Drosophila melanogaster: one gene and its partners. Changing the gene in region 1 together with any one later gene gives a genetic interaction. Each region holds a gene or a part of one and is shown in the gene's direction. Other genes may lie near its edges.

Evidence for each region.
Region 2: of RhoGAP100F (region 1) and wrd, changing one suppresses a phenotype caused by changing the other (phenotypic suppression), as found in Drosophila melanogaster (one study listed by BioGRID).
Region 3: of RhoGAP100F (region 1) and Lar, changing one suppresses a phenotype caused by changing the other (phenotypic suppression), as found in Drosophila melanogaster (one study listed by BioGRID).

The regions. Positions count from the first base shown.
Region 1 is NT_033777.3:31,811,078-31,815,655, forward strand, and holds the start of RhoGAP100F (Rho GTPase activating protein at 100F), read left to right. Parts: upstream 1-1,531; 5' UTR 1,532-2,749; intron 2,750-4,578. Other genes in the region: FeCH (ferrochelatase), read right to left, coding at 1-244, 300-401, 664-1,042, 1,097-1,133. UniProt on the Drosophila melanogaster protein: GTPase activator for the Rho-type GTPases by converting them to an inactive GDP-bound state. Promotes the anchoring of Liprin-alpha clusters at synapses. Recruits and keeps Nrx-1 levels high in active zones in the presynapse opposite the postsynaptic region.
Region 2 is NT_033777.3:18,170,902-18,178,890, forward strand, and holds wrd (well-rounded), read left to right. Parts: upstream 1-1,942; 5' UTR 1,943-2,048; intron 2,049-2,224; 5' UTR 2,225-2,383; coding exon 2,384-3,289; intron 3,290-3,638; coding exon 3,639-4,143; intron 4,144-4,431; coding exon 4,432-4,628; intron 4,629-4,701; coding exon 4,702-5,036; intron 5,037-5,102; coding exon 5,103-5,333; intron 5,334-5,405; coding exon 5,406-5,798; intron 5,799-5,903; coding exon 5,904-6,147; coding exon of another isoform or gene 6,148-6,192; exon of another isoform or gene 6,193-6,340; intron 6,341-7,001; coding exon 7,002-7,145; 3' UTR 7,146-7,474; downstream 7,475-7,989.
Region 3 is NT_033779.5:19,605,016-19,609,615, forward strand, and holds the start of Lar (Leukocyte-antigen-related-like), read left to right. Parts: upstream 1-1,553; 5' UTR 1,554-2,066; intron 2,067-4,600. UniProt on the Drosophila melanogaster protein: Possible cell adhesion receptor. It possesses an intrinsic protein tyrosine phosphatase activity (PTPase). It controls motor axon guidance. In the developing eye, has a role in normal axonal targeting of the R7 photoreceptor, where it negatively regulates bdl.

The DNA.
Region 1 (4,578 bases):
CGTCTGACCAAGTTCCTGCATCACCATGTGTACGCTAGCACCAATCTCCGAGGGATACGCGTCACCCCGGTTCACAGCCTTAAGGGGAAGGGAGTGGGCAGTGAAGAGGATGACCACATCATTTCGTTTCGTTTCCACAAATTTGGCCAGCTCGTCGCGAATTCGCTGGGCAAACGTTTTGATTAGAAGTGGATGAGTGCCCCACCTGTCGATAATGCTCCATTTGATATCCGAGGGCAGATTACTAAAGAGGTAGAGGGGATCAAATAAATAGCTGCAATTGTGCATTTCTAACTCACTTGCTCCGATAATGAGTAAATATGGAGTTAAAGCTGGATCCGGAGGTGGCGCAGCTGTACTGTGGATATTGTGAAAAGAGTACAACGCGCTCTGGTTTGTCCCTGTAAATATGTTAAAATATTAACATGTATTCTTTAAGTAGCGCAAATGACCATAATTTCCAGGTTTAGGTTTCAGTAATTTGTCCAAGAAGTCAACTGATAATAGCAGGACATTGAAACATGCATAAGAAGTCAGAAGTCTATACAAACTTATTTACTAGAACATATCTTATTGTGAGAGTCCGTAGCAATATATATAGGTCAATTTCACGACCTTCGGATTATTTACATCACTCTTGTTCTACTTCTCGACTACACTCACTTTTCGATCTCGGCCAGCGTGTTCTCAGTGAGGGGATTCACGTAGCGGAAACCGACGTAGTGCTTGTGAGGTGCTGTCTCCGGGGAGATTCTGTCCAACTGCTCGCACATGAGCTGGCCCTGCAGCTCGGTCCACTTAAGAATCGGTGAACCACCGCCGATCTCCTTGTACTTCTTCTGTACCTCGGGCGTCCTGCGCTGGGCGATCCACGGACCAAGACGGCTCTGCACCGGCAGCTGGATCATGTCCCGGTCGGTCATAATACGCAGGAGGTAGTCATGCACCTGGTCCGTGTGGGTCGGACCGCCCATGTTCAGCATTAGGATCGCGGTCTTCGGTTTTTGGCCGCTCAGGTTGCGCACTCCTCCTGCCAGACCACCTGTTGGGGAATATGTAGGAATGTCGTGGGAACTGTATCCACTCGTATACTCACTTGCCAGTCTGCAAAACTTTGTGTTATGCAAAAACATAGTTCCTTTTAAATTGACCCAAATTGATGGCACCGGTGTCGAATAGTGTTACCAGTTGCTAAAATAGTTTAAATACCAAAATGTATGATCTCACAGATTCTAGAGTTTTTCCAAACGTAACAGAGTTCTGTAAAAAGTAACCGTCACGCCATCTATGTGTGTAAAATAGCTGCCAACTATTACTCAACAGTAATCTAAATATTTAAAAATTTTTCCTTTTGTTACACATTTACCATTTAATTTCTCTTTATTGAAACCGAAACCAATATTTGGTATATACTGTTCTTCAAGCGACCAACAGAAATTTTTCGCGCATGCGTCCTTATTTCTTTCCCTTGTCATCAACGCTGCGTGCAACGGTAAAAGCTGACTGTGGTGCAGTCTCGCTCTTGCACGCTGCATTTCGCTCTCGTCGCTTGCTGCGAGTGTTTCGTTTCCTCCGATCAAATAATATTTTGTAGTTTTTCCACCGAATGCAGGCACAATTGCTTCGTAAAAACGCAATAAAAGGCGCGGCCCATGGTCCGAAAAGATAAGAAAGCTTGAAAAACAACCGAAAGTGTCGTTTAACATCGGAGAAAAGCAAAAGGACAAGCGGCGCAGCACAGTGAAAAAAACGTAGGAAGTTTTGGAGTGAGTGAGAGGGAAGGAGTTCCACCGCGGTGGTGGGTGTACGTGCGCGAGTATTGGTGATGTGTCCATGTCCGTGTTATCGCCACCAGCATTAAAGTGCTCCAATTCGTGGCGCACGCGCAGAATAACTAGCGCTCTCTTGCTCTCTTTCTCGACTTAGAAGAGGAACAGGATATTTTATTATACTGAAATTCCTACTCAGGAAATTCGCATAGTTGCGAAAGCTTCGCGCTGCCACACGGACGCATTCCGCTACGGGTTCCCCGCACCACCCACACACTCTCACACCCGCCTGCCGCGAGCCCACACACCGCGCCCGCAAGCACTCTCGCGCACAGATCAATGAAAAGGCCAAAAAATAAATTGCACCTTTTCCGGGAACCAAAAACATGTTGAAATTATCTCACAAGTTACGCAAAAAATGCCGCAGCAAAAAAGTTGCATGGGATGCCGTGAATGCGACGAAAGTGTGAAACGAAACGAAAGGCAACGAAAGACGGTGCAGAAAGGAGCAAAGAGAGGCTGCAAGGATGTACTGCTTCTCAAAATCCCAAGCCATTGACCACCGAATCAGCGATAAGTCTCTAACAACAAAAACCTGCACCTAGCCAATTGCATTTTGCATTCGCATTCTTACTGCCCCGGAAGTAAAAGCAGCTTCAGCGGAAATTAAAACCAATCAAAGCCGAAATAAAAGGTAACGCTAGCGAGCGAAAGAGATAGACATTTTTAGAGAAAAAGAGAGAGCAAGAGAGAGCTACCATAGAGAGCAAGTGCATCCTTTTCACAACGCGGCACACATTTACGACCGGTGACTGCAACTAGCCCACTCCCATACCTCCGCCCCTCTTCAACCCGACCCCAGTTGTCCCTTGCAATTTGTGATCTCACGTTTTCATAACTTGGGCAGTAGCCGTTGGCACGGATTAGACGCAAAACGTCAAGCATTAGGACGTCAGGAGAAACGCAGTTCCACAGTGCAGGTGAGTTTTCAACAAAGGGACCTATCCAGGAAACTCACTGGCGGCTATGCATTTAGTTAATTAAAAAACTATTTGAAGGGTGAAAAGTCCATCATAGGAAATGACCTTGTCGCTATCAAATTCGGCTGTGCTTGATAAGGCTCCCACAACTCGAATAAGCGATCATTTGTGGCAAGTGTGATTATGCGCAATTTTCTGTTAAAACAAATCCTGTTTCCAGAACTTCTAATGCTTTGTTGGTTAGCGTTATTTTGCCTTTTACTAAAAACCTTTTGAAAGAAAAGGAAACGTCTTCTGATAGGCTATCATCATTCATTGTAGTCATTGGAGGTGGAGGTTCCAATTTAATCGTAAGAAAACATGGCATATCGTCAAATCAATTCGAGCAAATGTAATATAAGCGGTGTCTATTCCAGCAGCAAATTATTTCAAGATCTCCTCTATTACACACAAGAGATGAAGATCTAGGATATATACGACTAGGTGAGAGGAACAGAAAGCAAAACATTTACCGCGACATTAACAATCAAAAATCTTGTTTGGACGCTTTTTATGCTCAAAGCCCCCATAACTTTTTACACCCCGAATCGCCCCTTCAGTCCGCCAAACTACCCCCAAGCTAAAAGCTTTGCTCCAATTTACCAGCAAACAGAGAACTTTGTGTGGAGCCCCATACCATACAAATAATTTAAAAAAGCTGAGCCGCACAACTATCTTAATTTTATGTTAGAACTAAAGCCCCTTGTATAAAAAAAATGATAGCAAGCCTCTTACGGTAGCCAAAAATGGATTTCCATAGAGACCATTAAAATCGCTTGGTACTTTTTGTTGTATTAATTTACGTTGTTATTTATTAACTTATTTTAAGGCAGTATTGTTCACATATAGAAAATCTTTAAACAGAAAGTTATTTTTAAAATTGCATATTATTTTGTTTGGTCCTTATGTGTGTGGTATAAGCCGAGCTGTAATACAACATGTGGATGGCGACTTCCATTCTGTGCAGCCATAATTCCATCTTTTTGATTCTGCCCTCACTAATTAGATAAATTCACAGTTTCCCCGCAACTTTGCTAGTTTTTATGGTTTCGAGCATATTTTTGGCATTTTAATGCGACTTCTATCCGTCGTCCAAATGGCGAGTTGGGAGCTCCAAATTCGGAGTTGCGAGTTTCTAGTTGCGGGTTGCTGGTGGCATGTTGCACAGTCGTCAGGTGAGTCAGCTGAGCACCGGCAGAAAGGACCACATGGCGCGAAGCGACTGCACTGAAAATTGGGGTTTTACCATGCAGATAATGGGATCCGATCTGAAAAGTAAATGATCGTAATATCGGTTGTCAAGAGCTGCGAGTCAGTTGTGGGGCCTTTTCGCGTTACAATTATAAGCTGAGCCGATAAATATAACTTCTAAAAGAAAGAGTATCCTTTTTTTGCCTCAGTGGGTGTGCAGTCGCATGAGCGTGCGGCAAAGCCCAGTGGGTGTGGGTGGGATGGTGGGTTTGCGGGTTAGGGTCCGACGGTCCCCAGTGGTGGGTCTGTGTTTCTTCTTTCGATGTATATTCCTTTGTCGGGTGCTACTAACCAGTCAAAGTGTGGAAAAGGGACTCATGGGGATGTGGCGTTGTGGATAAACTTCAACGCAGCAATAACCATACCAAACCAAATAATGCCATGATGGGGTTACAACTGAGCCCAAAGAGGGAAATCGATAAATCTGCCTGTCGTCATTGTAGCACTGCCTCAAGTAAAAATAATTTTAAAGTTTAAAATTCATATCGATATCTTATTAAATTCGGTTTTCACTATTTATGACAATTTCGTAATATTTG
Region 2 (7,989 bases), about 14 Mb from region 1:
AGACGGAGTTGATTATACAAATCTTTATACTCACATGCCTGTTATTAACTAGAAGAACTTTTAATGAAAATTTTTTACATTTTTGTCTCTCCAACGACAAAAATATTGAACATTTGCAATAAAACATAAAGTATAAGGCGAGCACTTTGCTTTTTGAAACTGCCAAAAAATTGCCCAATGAAATGCTTTAAAAAATACATAAATGTTAGTGCCTGGAAAATATATACATATATGCCACCACCTGATTCCCTGGTAGATGCCAGCAATATAATCCTATACGTGTATGGAGAGCCTACGGAACTCCAGCTTCCTGATCCCAGAGCACATTTCAATGTTCGGCATTACTAAACTCAGACTAAAACACACCCACAGGCAGCTCAACTTAGGCGTCAAGGATTCGCACAGTCCAAGGTAAAAGCGATGGCCGGCCAAAATGGCAGCGAGGGACCATCCCGAACTGAACTGCTTTGCTCTGATTTTGCAAGTGCTACGTTTTGAGTATGCTTTTTATTTGACCGCATATTGCTTTGCATTCGTTGTTAAAATTATTTTCATTTACTAAGCATAAGCCAAACCGTTGACATGGGAAAAGATAATCAGATAAGTGTCATTTATGCCCCTTTGCAGGCTAACAAACTCAAGGACAACACACCACCGTACGATGCACCGCCGCCCACGCCGATCAGCAAGGTCCTGAACATCACCGGCACCCCGATCGTTCGCAAGGAGAAGCGCCAGACCAGCGCCCGGTACAATGCCTCCAAGAACTGCGAACTGACGGCCCTCATTCCGCTAAACGAGAGTGAGTAGCCTTGGAGTAGATCCTACTACTTAGTATATTACTTTATAATACATGTACTGCCAGCTGTTCAGATCGATATCTCTTAAGCCTGCAGATCGGTTGCATGGGGTAGAACTTGGTCGTAGCCATGTCGTAGCATACATTTTAGGGCAGGGTTCCGTTTAGGCGATATAAAATTACCTTTCTTACTGTCTACCAACATCGTCAATTAAGTTTTTATGCAACTATACACTCAAAACAGATTGTATAAATCGTAGTAATTCCCATTAACGATGCATAATTACATATATTATGTCAATTAACTCCGGTAAATTTCCATGATTATAAGTTCAGCTTTAACTTACAAGAGGCATTCTCTGTAAAGTGTACCTACGACCTGCAAGCTTGTTGGGAATATTGATTGGCCGGCGCTTGATTAATTTCGCTCAGCTGTTGTAATTTGTTTATTATTTGTTAAAGTTAAAGGTCAAGGGAGTGTCGTCTGATTAGGTGGGTGGCAACACTGACGCACGGCCACTCACACATGTGAACCAAGCAGCCGCATCAATTCACACCTCTCTCCACCTCTCTCACTCACCGGAATTTCAACACATGCGCTCTCTCCGCAGCCTCTCATTACACTGGGAGAAAGCATCGTTAGAGGATTTCTCAGACCGTCTTAAATTTCATATATACACCGGCATTTCTTTATGACACAAATGTATTCGATTGATTTAAACTTGTGTATACAAATAATTAGAAAAACTGTATCCTGCAGGGAATTAATTTAAAAAAAAGCAAATTCAATATTTTTGAAAATCATATATGTACATATCTGCGCGTAATGATTATGAAATTGCTACACTTTTTTTTTCTGTGCAGCATGAATGTCATCGCATTGCGTTATTCACATACCTTTCTGCTAATTGCTTGGGCGGTTTCGACTCACAAATCGAATAAACAAATTTCGCTTGTTCAATACTATTTTATTTTATTAGGTTTTATTGTTATTGTGGCTCGCTCGCCCACCAGCCCACTTTCTCTCTCTTTATTTTCTCTCTGTCTGCTGCTCACCAAATTTCTCTCCATTTCATTCTCTCTCGATATCGATTTTTCCGATTGGCGCAGCAGTCGAAGCAACAAAAAAAAAACCGTTTCAAGACCGTGAACGTCGTGTGCCCCGAAAACTTTAATATTAGTTGAAAATATTCGTTTCCCAAGTTAATTGCTCTCCTATCCTATTCCCTCATTTGTTCCCATTCGAACCGTAAGTTTTTCCACGTAATTATGGCCATTTGTGAGGCAAAAGAAGAATTTTAGCAGAGGCGTTGTCATTTCCATTTTCATTTCCAATTGCATTTCATTTCGTTTTGTGTTACCATCAGCGCATAATCGCATTTGGCGTTAATCTAAACCATTATCTATATTGCAATTCCATTACAGATTCTATAGTTTCATACTTAGCGTGCCCAAATTGAGTTTCTAGTGTAGTCTTTCTCATGTGTTGTTGTTGGTCGGCGGGGGCGGCTGGTAAAAAAAACAAGCGTTCCGTATCAAGATTAAAACCGAGTGCCATTTGCTCCAAGTGCCGGCACTAATGAGATGGTCTTCGGTGCTATGTTGCTGACGGGCAACGGGCTCAAAGGTCCCAAACAGCAGCAACAGCAACATCAGCAGGAGCCGCAGCAGCAGCAGCAGCAATCGCAACAGCAGCAGCAAGAGCAAAAGAAACCGGCGCCCATTAAATCCTCCAGCAAGGAGCAGGAAACGCAGCCCATTGCAGCCGGGTATTATGCCCTCGGCATACGCATACCCAAATCTCCATCGTTTCACAGCGGCCTAGATCAGCTGGCCGACGACGAGTTGGACGATCAGGTGCAGGATCAGCAGCAGGAGCAGCAACAGACCGGCAGCCGATTCAGGTTTAGCAGCGTGGAGGAGCTAAAGGCCAAGTTCGAGGGGCGGAAAACGCCCCTCTCACCGCCAGAGGCAGCAGCAGGAGGAGCAGCCGGATCCGGAGCACCCACCACATCCTCCTCACCATCGTCCTCGTCCACCAGCTCCAATTCGTCGGCCTCGGCCCTGTCCTCGCTTTCACAGGCGGCCTCATCCTCGCTAGCCTCGGCGGCTGCTAACTCCTCGGCCTCATCCTCGGCCGCCACATACGGTGGTGGAGCGAATTCGGCTGCAGCTGCACTGATTGCCTCCTCGCCATTTGGATCGCAGTCCTCCACTTCTTCGCTCTCGCTATCCTCGAATGCCGGCATGTCGAAGAACGCGGCAGGAGCAGGATCTGGATCTGGATCTGGAACAACGTCAACGGGCGCTGCTAGCGGCAGCAATTCACTTGTGTCCACTTTGGCACAACATTTCTCGGCGGCCACATCCGCCGCAGCATCGGCGGCAGCCGCTGCGGCATCCTCTGCCTCGGCGGCGTCCTCCTCGTCAGCTTCCTCCTCATCCACCGCCACCAACAACGCAGCCAGCAGCTCCATCGCCGCCAGCAAGGTTTGCAGCTTGGTCTTGTCCACATACACACACACCCAGCGATCTGAAAACCCAAAACATAACCACATCACCACCTCCAAGTACAAACCACAAATTTTACACTTTCTTCCAAACTTTCACTAATTGTGTTAGCTTTTTGGATAACGATAACTAAGTTTCAAAGAAAAAAATAACAATTCAAGTACCTTGTTAATCAAAGTTTTATTTACATTGTACGCTAGAAGCTAATACATTTAGTAGCATCTCACACACTATCCACCAACACTAACTCCATCCCAATTGAACAAACCGAAATTTGATAAACCAAAACCATACTCTGCTCTCATTTCATCGCTTCCTCATCATCCAGTCACCTGTGAGCGCGGCCGCGGCCATAAAGAACATACTGAATGCCACCAAGAGTGTGGGTACTAGTGCTGCGGCGGCGGCAGCAGCGGCGGCCACCTCCTCCTCATCATCCCCATCCTCTGCGGCGGCTGTGCCGTCGTCCGCCGCCACCGCCGTCGCCGCTGTTCCCACCACCAGCGATGTGCCCGCAGAGGAGATGCGTCCGACGGTGGCCCAGAATCTGGTGGGCGGCATTAGCATCTCATTGGGAATTGGCCAGCGCAATGGCGGCGCAGCACCTGCGTCATCAGCAGTAATGGTGACACCTAACGCCACCATGGTGGTGACCACATCGAGCCTAAGCATCCGGCAGAACGGTGACATACTGCCGGGTCATCCGGCGGGTCTTCAGCCCTCGCCCCAGACGCTCCAACAGCTGACGGGCAGTCCGGGAAGGGCTCGCGACCGGAATCTATTCTACACGCCACCCACCGCTTCGGTTGCCATGGCGCTGCCTGCACTGCGAGGTTGCTATCCCGAATGGATCCGGGCCAATGGCGATGGATGGAGCCATTCCAGCCATTGCCCTTGGGCCTGAGGTCCTCCGGCTACTTGATCCTTTCTTCCGATCTTCATTATGTTCGTTTTGAGTTTCGCTTGCCTGCTTTTGGTTGGTCGTTTTTGTAGTTGTAGGTTTTTTTTTTTTAATTTTATATTAAGGTCAATTTTATATGGCTTACATTTTGTTTGATATATCTATCACTTATATTATATATTTAAAAAAATTAATGATGATTTCATTTGTATTTCCATAGAGACCGCCGCCAGTGAACGTGAGGAGCTGTTCATACAGAAGATCCAGCAATGCTGCACACTGTTCGACTTCTCCGAGCCGCTCAGCGACCTCAAGTTCAAGGAGGTGAAGCGGGCGGCTCTGCACGAAATGGTCGATTTCCTCACCAACCAAAATGGCGTAATAACCGAAGTTATTTACCCGGAGGCGATCAATATGGTAAGCTACTAATTTACATATTTAAAATAATATCACATGCTTTTACCACAACATACTTATCTGTTCTCATCAGTTTGCTGTCAACCTTTTCCGAACTCTGCCGCCATCGTCCAACCCGAATGGTGCCGAATTCGATCCGGAGGAGGATGAGCCCACGTTGGAGTCCTCGTGGCCGCATCTGCAACTCGTTTACGAGCTGTTCTTGCGCTTCTTGGAGTCACCAGATTTTCAACCAAGCATGGCAAAACGTTTTATCGACCATCAATTTGTATTACAACTATTGGATTTATTCGATTCGGAGGATCCACGTGAACGTGATTTCCTGAAGACTGTTTTACATCGCATCTATGGAAAATTTTTGGGCTTGAGAGCATTTATTAGAAAGCAGATCAACAATGTCTTTTACAGGTGAGCTCGTCATTGGAATATCTATAAGGTTAATGCCTCACATTACTAATCGCATTCCACATTTAGATTTATTTATGAAACGGAGCATCATAATGGCATAGCCGAATTGTTGGAAATCCTGGGTAGCATTATCAATGGCTTTGCTCTGCCGCTTAAGGAGGAGCATAAACAATTTTTACTTAAGGTATTGCTGCCATTGCACAAAGCCAAGAGCCTCTCGGTCTACCATCCGCAGCTCACCTATTGTGTGGTGCAGTTCCTGGAGAAGGATCCTAGCTTATCGGAGGCGGTCATCAAGTGAGTAAAGAATTCCTTATTTTGCGCATTTTCTAATTAGCCTATCGCTGCCATATTTCAATATTCTTGCAGAAGCCTACTTAAATTTTGGCCCAAGACGCACAGTCCCAAGGAGGTTATGTTTTTGAACGAGCTGGAGGAGCTGTTGGACGTAATTGAGCCGGCCGAGTTCCAGAAGGTGATGGTGCCGCTGTTCCGCCAAATAGCCAAGTGCGTCTCTTCGCCTCATTTCCAGGTGGCCGAACGTGCGTTGTACTATTGGAACAACGAGTACATTATGTCGCTGATAACGGATAACTCGGCGGTGATATTACCCATTATGTTCCCAGCGCTCAATCGCAACTCAAAGACGCACTGGAACAAGACCATCCATGGTCTGATCTACAATGCACTCAAGCTGTTCATGGAGATAGATCAGCGGCTTTTTGACGAGTGCAGCAAGAACTACAAGCAAGAGAAGCAGATGTATGTGTTAACTTTAGTTGATAATTAACTTCCATGGGACGATGCACTCACGTTTTATTACTTTGTACTAAACATTGGCGTTTTTTTTTTTTTTTTGCATTGCAGGGAGCGTGAGAAGCTGTCGCAAAGGGAGGAGCTCTGGCAACAGGTGGAGAGCTTGGCCAAGACCAACCCGGAGTGGACAAAGGCGCGCCGGTTTAACGACTGCCTGCCGGTCAGCGACAGCCGGGCCCTGTGCGATCAATATAGTGAGAACAGCGATTCAGCGTATGATCAGAGCGAGCAGAGGGCGCGCCAGCCGCCGCCTCCGCTGCCGCCACAGAAACAGGCGCACCAGGAGCCCCGAGAGGTGAGACAGGCACTTGCCACATTAACAACACTAAACAACTACTAATCCGCCACGTGTGATCCTGGCGTCGCTGTGAGCTGTGCCCAGCTAAGGCCCACTCTGTTTCAACTCTAATTCTAATCGAACGAATGTCTGTTAAAATAATCACACTCATGTCATTTAAAAAAAAAAAAATACATATTTGTATATCTTTAACTTTGTCTATTTATTTATTAATTATTTGGTAACCTCACTGTCTGCCAAACCAAACGCATCCATGCAAATTCATCCACGACACAACAACTTTTCTCCTGCACTTTTGGTTAACCGCATACGAATTGGGCGGAATTAATATGTAGTTTATCTTACTTAGATGTTAATTACACTTTGGTCCATCTTTTAACTCATTTGTGGTCATTTTAATGAGAGAACGCGTTCCTTTTGTAACATCAATATGATTCTCATTTATTAATTTGAACACTTAACATAATTTTCCTCAAGTGAATCACCATTTTTAAGCATGAATCCCAGTTAGAGTAAAATCTGTGCACATAACTATTAAAAACTAGTGTCAAATGTATCATGTTGTTAACAACTCAGAACCAGAAACCATACAACACTCCTCGATCTCAGACCTTTGTAACACAATTCGACATTCGGGTGTAGATGTATATATATATCGTAGTCGTGTGTTGTCCAACTGGTGGTCATCGAGTTTCCATCCAGCACCACAGCACTCGATATCGTAACGCAATCATCCCGCACCACCGTGTAACTTCACCCGCCCAGTGTGTGTGTGTGTGTGTGCTGCGATGCCTTAGTGTCAGAAGCGGGTCCATTTTCTATTGCCAAACCCCCCTTCCCGTTCCACACAGATTCGTGGCGAACGGAACAAGGACAAGCCGCTGCTGCGCCGGAAATCGGACCTGCCATCGGACAGTGGAACCGTGAAGGCGCTAAACGAGCACAAGCGGACGGATGAGTACCTCACAACGCCGCCGCCGGATGGAAACTACTAGGAGAGAGCTGGCCAGCCGACGCCACCAATATTCGTAGCTCCAATGAGGAGGATAGTCAAACCACAGAACTTACCCAAATAGACCTACACACTCCAGACTAAGGCCAGAAAGCATACATATATAGAAGCACAAGTCCAAGTCCAGAGATGAAGGATAGAATCCGCACAACTAGAGAACAAACAATTTTGAACGATGCATTTGCATTTGGGGGCTTAGAGTGGGGGCGTGGCAACGGATGCAAGCCAATTGCTATATATATATACACATACAAAATACCTATCTTTAGTGATCATGCATAGTACCAATAAAGATCAAGAATCCCCAACGAGATCGATTGTCTAGCTCCAATTTCGTTTGCATATGCATTTCAAGATTACCCTTTTGCTCCAACGCATGCCACAGTGAAGCTTAGCCCTGAATGACCTTCTTATATATATTCTTATTTCTTATATCTTTTACCCAATGCATGTTGCTGCTAGCGTTGCTTTAGCTATAGCCCTATCAATTAGATCTAATTGTGCAATAATCTGGTATCACAACTATGCTCTTACCATTTCAGTAAACGCGTGAATATAATTGTACAGTTGAATTTGAATTGTCTAACTTAAGGCGTAGGCGTTTACCACCTTGATTGAGTACATATATATCCCCCGATTTCTGCCACATGCATACATAGATAGCTATATGACATCCAGACATTCATGCCACATGCCACTATTATACACACATACTATATAAAACATGTTTACTACTCCACGACTCAAATTTGCAAATATTGTACGCTATTTAGCCTAGCAGTTAGAGCAGCATACCCATAATATATTTATATGAAACAAATCGCCCA
Region 3 (4,600 bases), on another chromosome or scaffold:
GCCAACTGCCTCACGCACACATTTGCAATATTGTTTGTTTGTAAGTTTGTGTGGGTTGTGCGCGGGCGAGTGTCTGTGATATTAGCATGTAACGAACACACACACACACACACACAGATGCAGGAACAGGAGTTAACTTGGCCAAAAGGCAACACAAAATGCCGCACACGTTCGTTTTTATTATGTTAAATGTCTCCTGGGGCAGGAACATCAGCATCTGCGAGTTGTTTCCATCTGTTCGGTGGCTTTCTGCCTTTTAGCTTTCCTCCCTTCCTTTTGTCTTCTGACTTTTGGTAACTGTCACTTGGCTTGTTACATTTCACATTCACTTAGACTGCAGGATTAAATCTGGAGCGCGCCAAAAATCTAGCTAGCCAGGAAAATTAGCACAGGCCGTTTCTCGCCTTTTCCTGCTCGGCACTGCGCTGGTTCGCCCTTCTGCGAAATATCCTGCCAGCTCGTCCTTTCAGCCGATTTCAGCTTACTGCCCGCCGCTCCAGTTGAAACTGACGACTGGCGAACGACGGTCAAAGTCAATGGCGGGCTTTTCGTGGACGCGATTCGCTTTTCACCTTCGTCGACGGGCTCGGCGCCTAAAAGCCGAACCTTTCCGATTCACCCACGTCGAAAGCTCGTTTAGCCATCTCACCAGGCTCTCTTCGAGCAAGTCCTTGCTGAGAAGGATTGAGTTGCCTTAATCGCAGATTTGCTTCTCTTTGGTTTCATGTTCTAAGCCTCGCAGGTCTCGAATCTCGAAATTGAGTGAGTCTGTTTTGTTGCCTTTGAGCATTTAAAATGCGTTTACATTTCTCATATAAGCCTGTACTCTTTGCGTCTGCAATTCGAGTCCTTTTTAGTTGAGCTATAAATGTTATTACCCAGCAAGCACTTCACTCTAAGAGAAACATTGCTGGTTTTGCTATAAAAGCACTCAGTGATTATCTCAATGTTAAATAAATTAGCTCGAATCGAGCGAGCAGTGTAAACTGGATTTACCATTCCCATACATTTATAAGAATTAAATAATAATTTTTATAATGCTAAAGAAAATCCCAATTTTATATTAAATATAAAATATTTTTTGAAACTCATGCTAAAAATGATGTTTCGTAATTCCTCTCAGTTTATTTTACATTTTTTTCAAATTTATTTTATGTTATTTTATCAAATATTCCTTGCACTCAACTGTTCCATAACATTTTAAACTGAGTGATTTTTGAATGCTATTTAGAATCACTCCGATTTGTGTGCTCTTAACATTTCCCAGAATGGTTTGTCTATTCGATTGAGTTCTGAGTACAAAGTGAGTTCCTTTTGAGTAGCCATCCTTTGGTGTTTCTCTTCCATCGCTCGCAGCTTCGGCTGGCGAATTTCTCGGCTTTTCCGCTCTCCGGAAAAATCCACCACACTCGGCGCTCGGTCGGCGCATCCTCGGGCACGCTGAAGGACTCTTCGGGTCGAGTGGCGACTCACAAACGCACACACTGAACGCGAGGAAAACACGAGCATTGCTGCTAGCAGCCTTAGCCAATCGTAAAAGTTTTGTACGTATTTAGTACAATTTCGGGATTTGGCAGGATGTAACGAGCGTGTAAGAAACAGAGCGCGTCCTTCTCAGCCGTGTGTGTGCGATAATCGGGCAACAAGCAGCGCGACAGCAAATTGTATATTACACAAAATTCGCAAAAAATCCAACGAATCGTTTGAATCCAATTTCGAGTGATATAACATAACCACAGATCGTACTCGGTTATAATGCAATAGCAAAGAGCCGCAGCATTTCGAAAATCCGGCAAAGTGATTTTAGCCAAGTTAACCAAAAACCAAATCGTCGAACTCCTCGGCTTGCCTCGGTTCAACCCCCTTCAACCCTTTCTCCATTAACTCGTTGTTGCCGCTGTACTCGTACATATGTGTGCACTTGTTTTTGTGAACGTGTTTTGCCGCAAGCCGGTTAAAAAATTATTCCCATAATTACACCATCCGAGTTGCAGGCGAGGAACTTCCGCGAAACATAATTACCGAAGAACAACTGACGTAGCCGATAATACCTGGCGGATAAATCGGTAAAATCTAAAGAGAAAACAAACTCTGAAAATTATCAGAAGCCTGGTGTGTGGTGTGTGCGTGTGACCTGGAATTTCCTTATGAATATCGATATATATATGGACTTTATCCTTATCGTCCTGGCCCTGCTAATAAGAAACGGCAATCCTGTGCCGCTGCTCGAGATGGAGATTGAAACGATTGCCCCGGGGAGAAGGGGATTCCTTCGGTCTCCCCATCCTTTCTTCCGTAATAGTGTCGTTTCCTTTATTTGTCCTTTTATGTTTACCTACTTTTTCTTTTTGTGCTCCGTCGTTTCGTCGTGGTTTGGTTTGGTTTGGTTTAGTTTGCTCGCACACAATTGAAAATTCAATTGATTTACAAAATGAAGTTTACTGGTTGGGACGACAGATACTTTTTATCTATTTTCATTTGCAGTTTTACGAGCGAGCAGCTCTTTTTTCGGCCCGCTCCTTTTGGCCTCAAAGCGAAACGGTTGGCAATTTTTCACAGTTCTTTTTCGATTGAGGTCCTGGCGGGGTTTCCTGCAGTTTGGTGCGAAAATAACGCTGCGTCCTGCAAGGATTGTTGTGGCTGATGTTTTCGCTGCCTTCCGATTCGGGTGTGCCGAGAGTGTGTGTTTGTGATTGGAGCGGCCTAAAATCGTTTTAGGACCAGCTGCGAAGTGATTTTCAGCTAAGGCGAAAAAAGGACTGCAGTGTGTGTCCTGTGTGAGTGTGGGTCTGCAGATTGACATAGTTATGTCCTCGGCAAGTAATGGGAAGTTCTTGGCAAGAGCTCAAGAAAATTTAAGTTTGGCCTGGCCTTGCAAAGCTAAATAAGATTCTATATATATAGGTTGTTTTAAAGCCAAAATGTTTACTAATGCTTAAAGCTGTTCTCAAAATGAAGCATTTTTCAATTGACATTATCTGCTATTCAATATTTTCAAGCGAGTTCCTTATTCAGAGCCTTCTGCTCAATTCTCTAGTATAAAATATTATTTTTGAGTAAATTCTCAATAAAACTTATAAAAGTAAATATTCTGAAAAAAAGCCTTTCCAAGTGTTTTGACAAGTATTTAATATTTTCGTTGTAGAAACTCGTACAACACAACTCAACCTAAAATGTCTTTCACCACTTGCCTCAAGGAACTTTCCTCGTTTTTGGTGTCAAGTGTTTTTATTAGAAGCAGAAGCAGAAAGGAGAAAAATTGCCGACGAAGGGGCGAAGTAAAAATTTTTCCTTTCATTCCTTTTTCGATCCAAACTTGAAATGAGGTTTGAAACAAAAACGTTTTTTCTGCGCCAGTGTAAAATAATACGCATACGCCATGTATAACGAATACCCAAAGTAGGCTTCACAAGTGGTAAGGGCTACTTTCTTTGGCAGAAACAGAATCGAAAATCGTAGGATATGGTTGTTAAAAACTATAGGCTATTCTATGGCTTACATTAGCCTAATTGAAATTATATCGCTTGATACATCGTTCGCAGGGCTTGGGGTTAATTAGGTGCTGACCAAGTTGAAATTACTATGTAACTTGTTTATTATATTAACATGTGGTTGCTCCTATTGAATGAAAACAGTAGCTAGATATATATATATATATAGATGGATGGATTGATATTGATAAATGAGAGGGGGCTTAATTTGCTCTTTGCATTTCACAGCGACTCGAACTATCCCCACTCCCATTAGCCCTATGGGCCTCAGTTGGAGCCAAAGCAAAAGGACTAGTACTTCAATGGGCACCCCCCCCCCCCCCACCTTCCATTCTCACTGTTCAAACAGCGTTTTACCATTCGTTCGTCATGCCATCGTTGGCTATATAAAGGCGGCTGATCGGCCACGCCCACTCTTCTTTTTCGCCGCTTGTTGTTGACGTTTACAATTTGGTGTTGAAAACTTCAGCTGGAAATTGGGTAATACTCGTGATGATGGCGTTGGTTGGATGACTGCAGCAATCCTGCATTAAGTACCCTCCTGTGTCTGGATGTCGGTGTGTGTGTGTGTGTGAACGCGAAGGGGTTTGCAACAAAGAAATTTTAATTTATATAGAATGAGTTTGGGGGCGGCAATACCTCCATTTTCCACCACCTCTCTCTCTCCTTTTTTTCGGCTGCAGTCGTCGACATTCCGATGTTCGTGTTCTGTGCTCACAGTGCTCTCACTCACTCACTCGTTCGCACATGGAGACCGAAAAAAATCCAATTATTTTAAAACTTTTGACAACTGCAACAACAAGGCGTTGCAAGGCTATGAAAACAATAAGAAACTGACTGAACAGCCAGAGGCAACAAAAACAATATATGTGTATGTATGTATGTAGGGGAAAGTCGAAAGTCCGCAAAAAATCAAGCAGAAAAATGAGTGTGAGTGCTCGAAAGGGTTGCCAGCCATTATAACTTCACTTGAAAAGTTTAATTGATTTTTACAAGTGCATACATATACATACATACATACATATATATATATATATACGGAGATGGACGCAAAAACATGCATACGTACATATGCCACGGACCTACCTGCAGTCGTGATTCTCGTGATT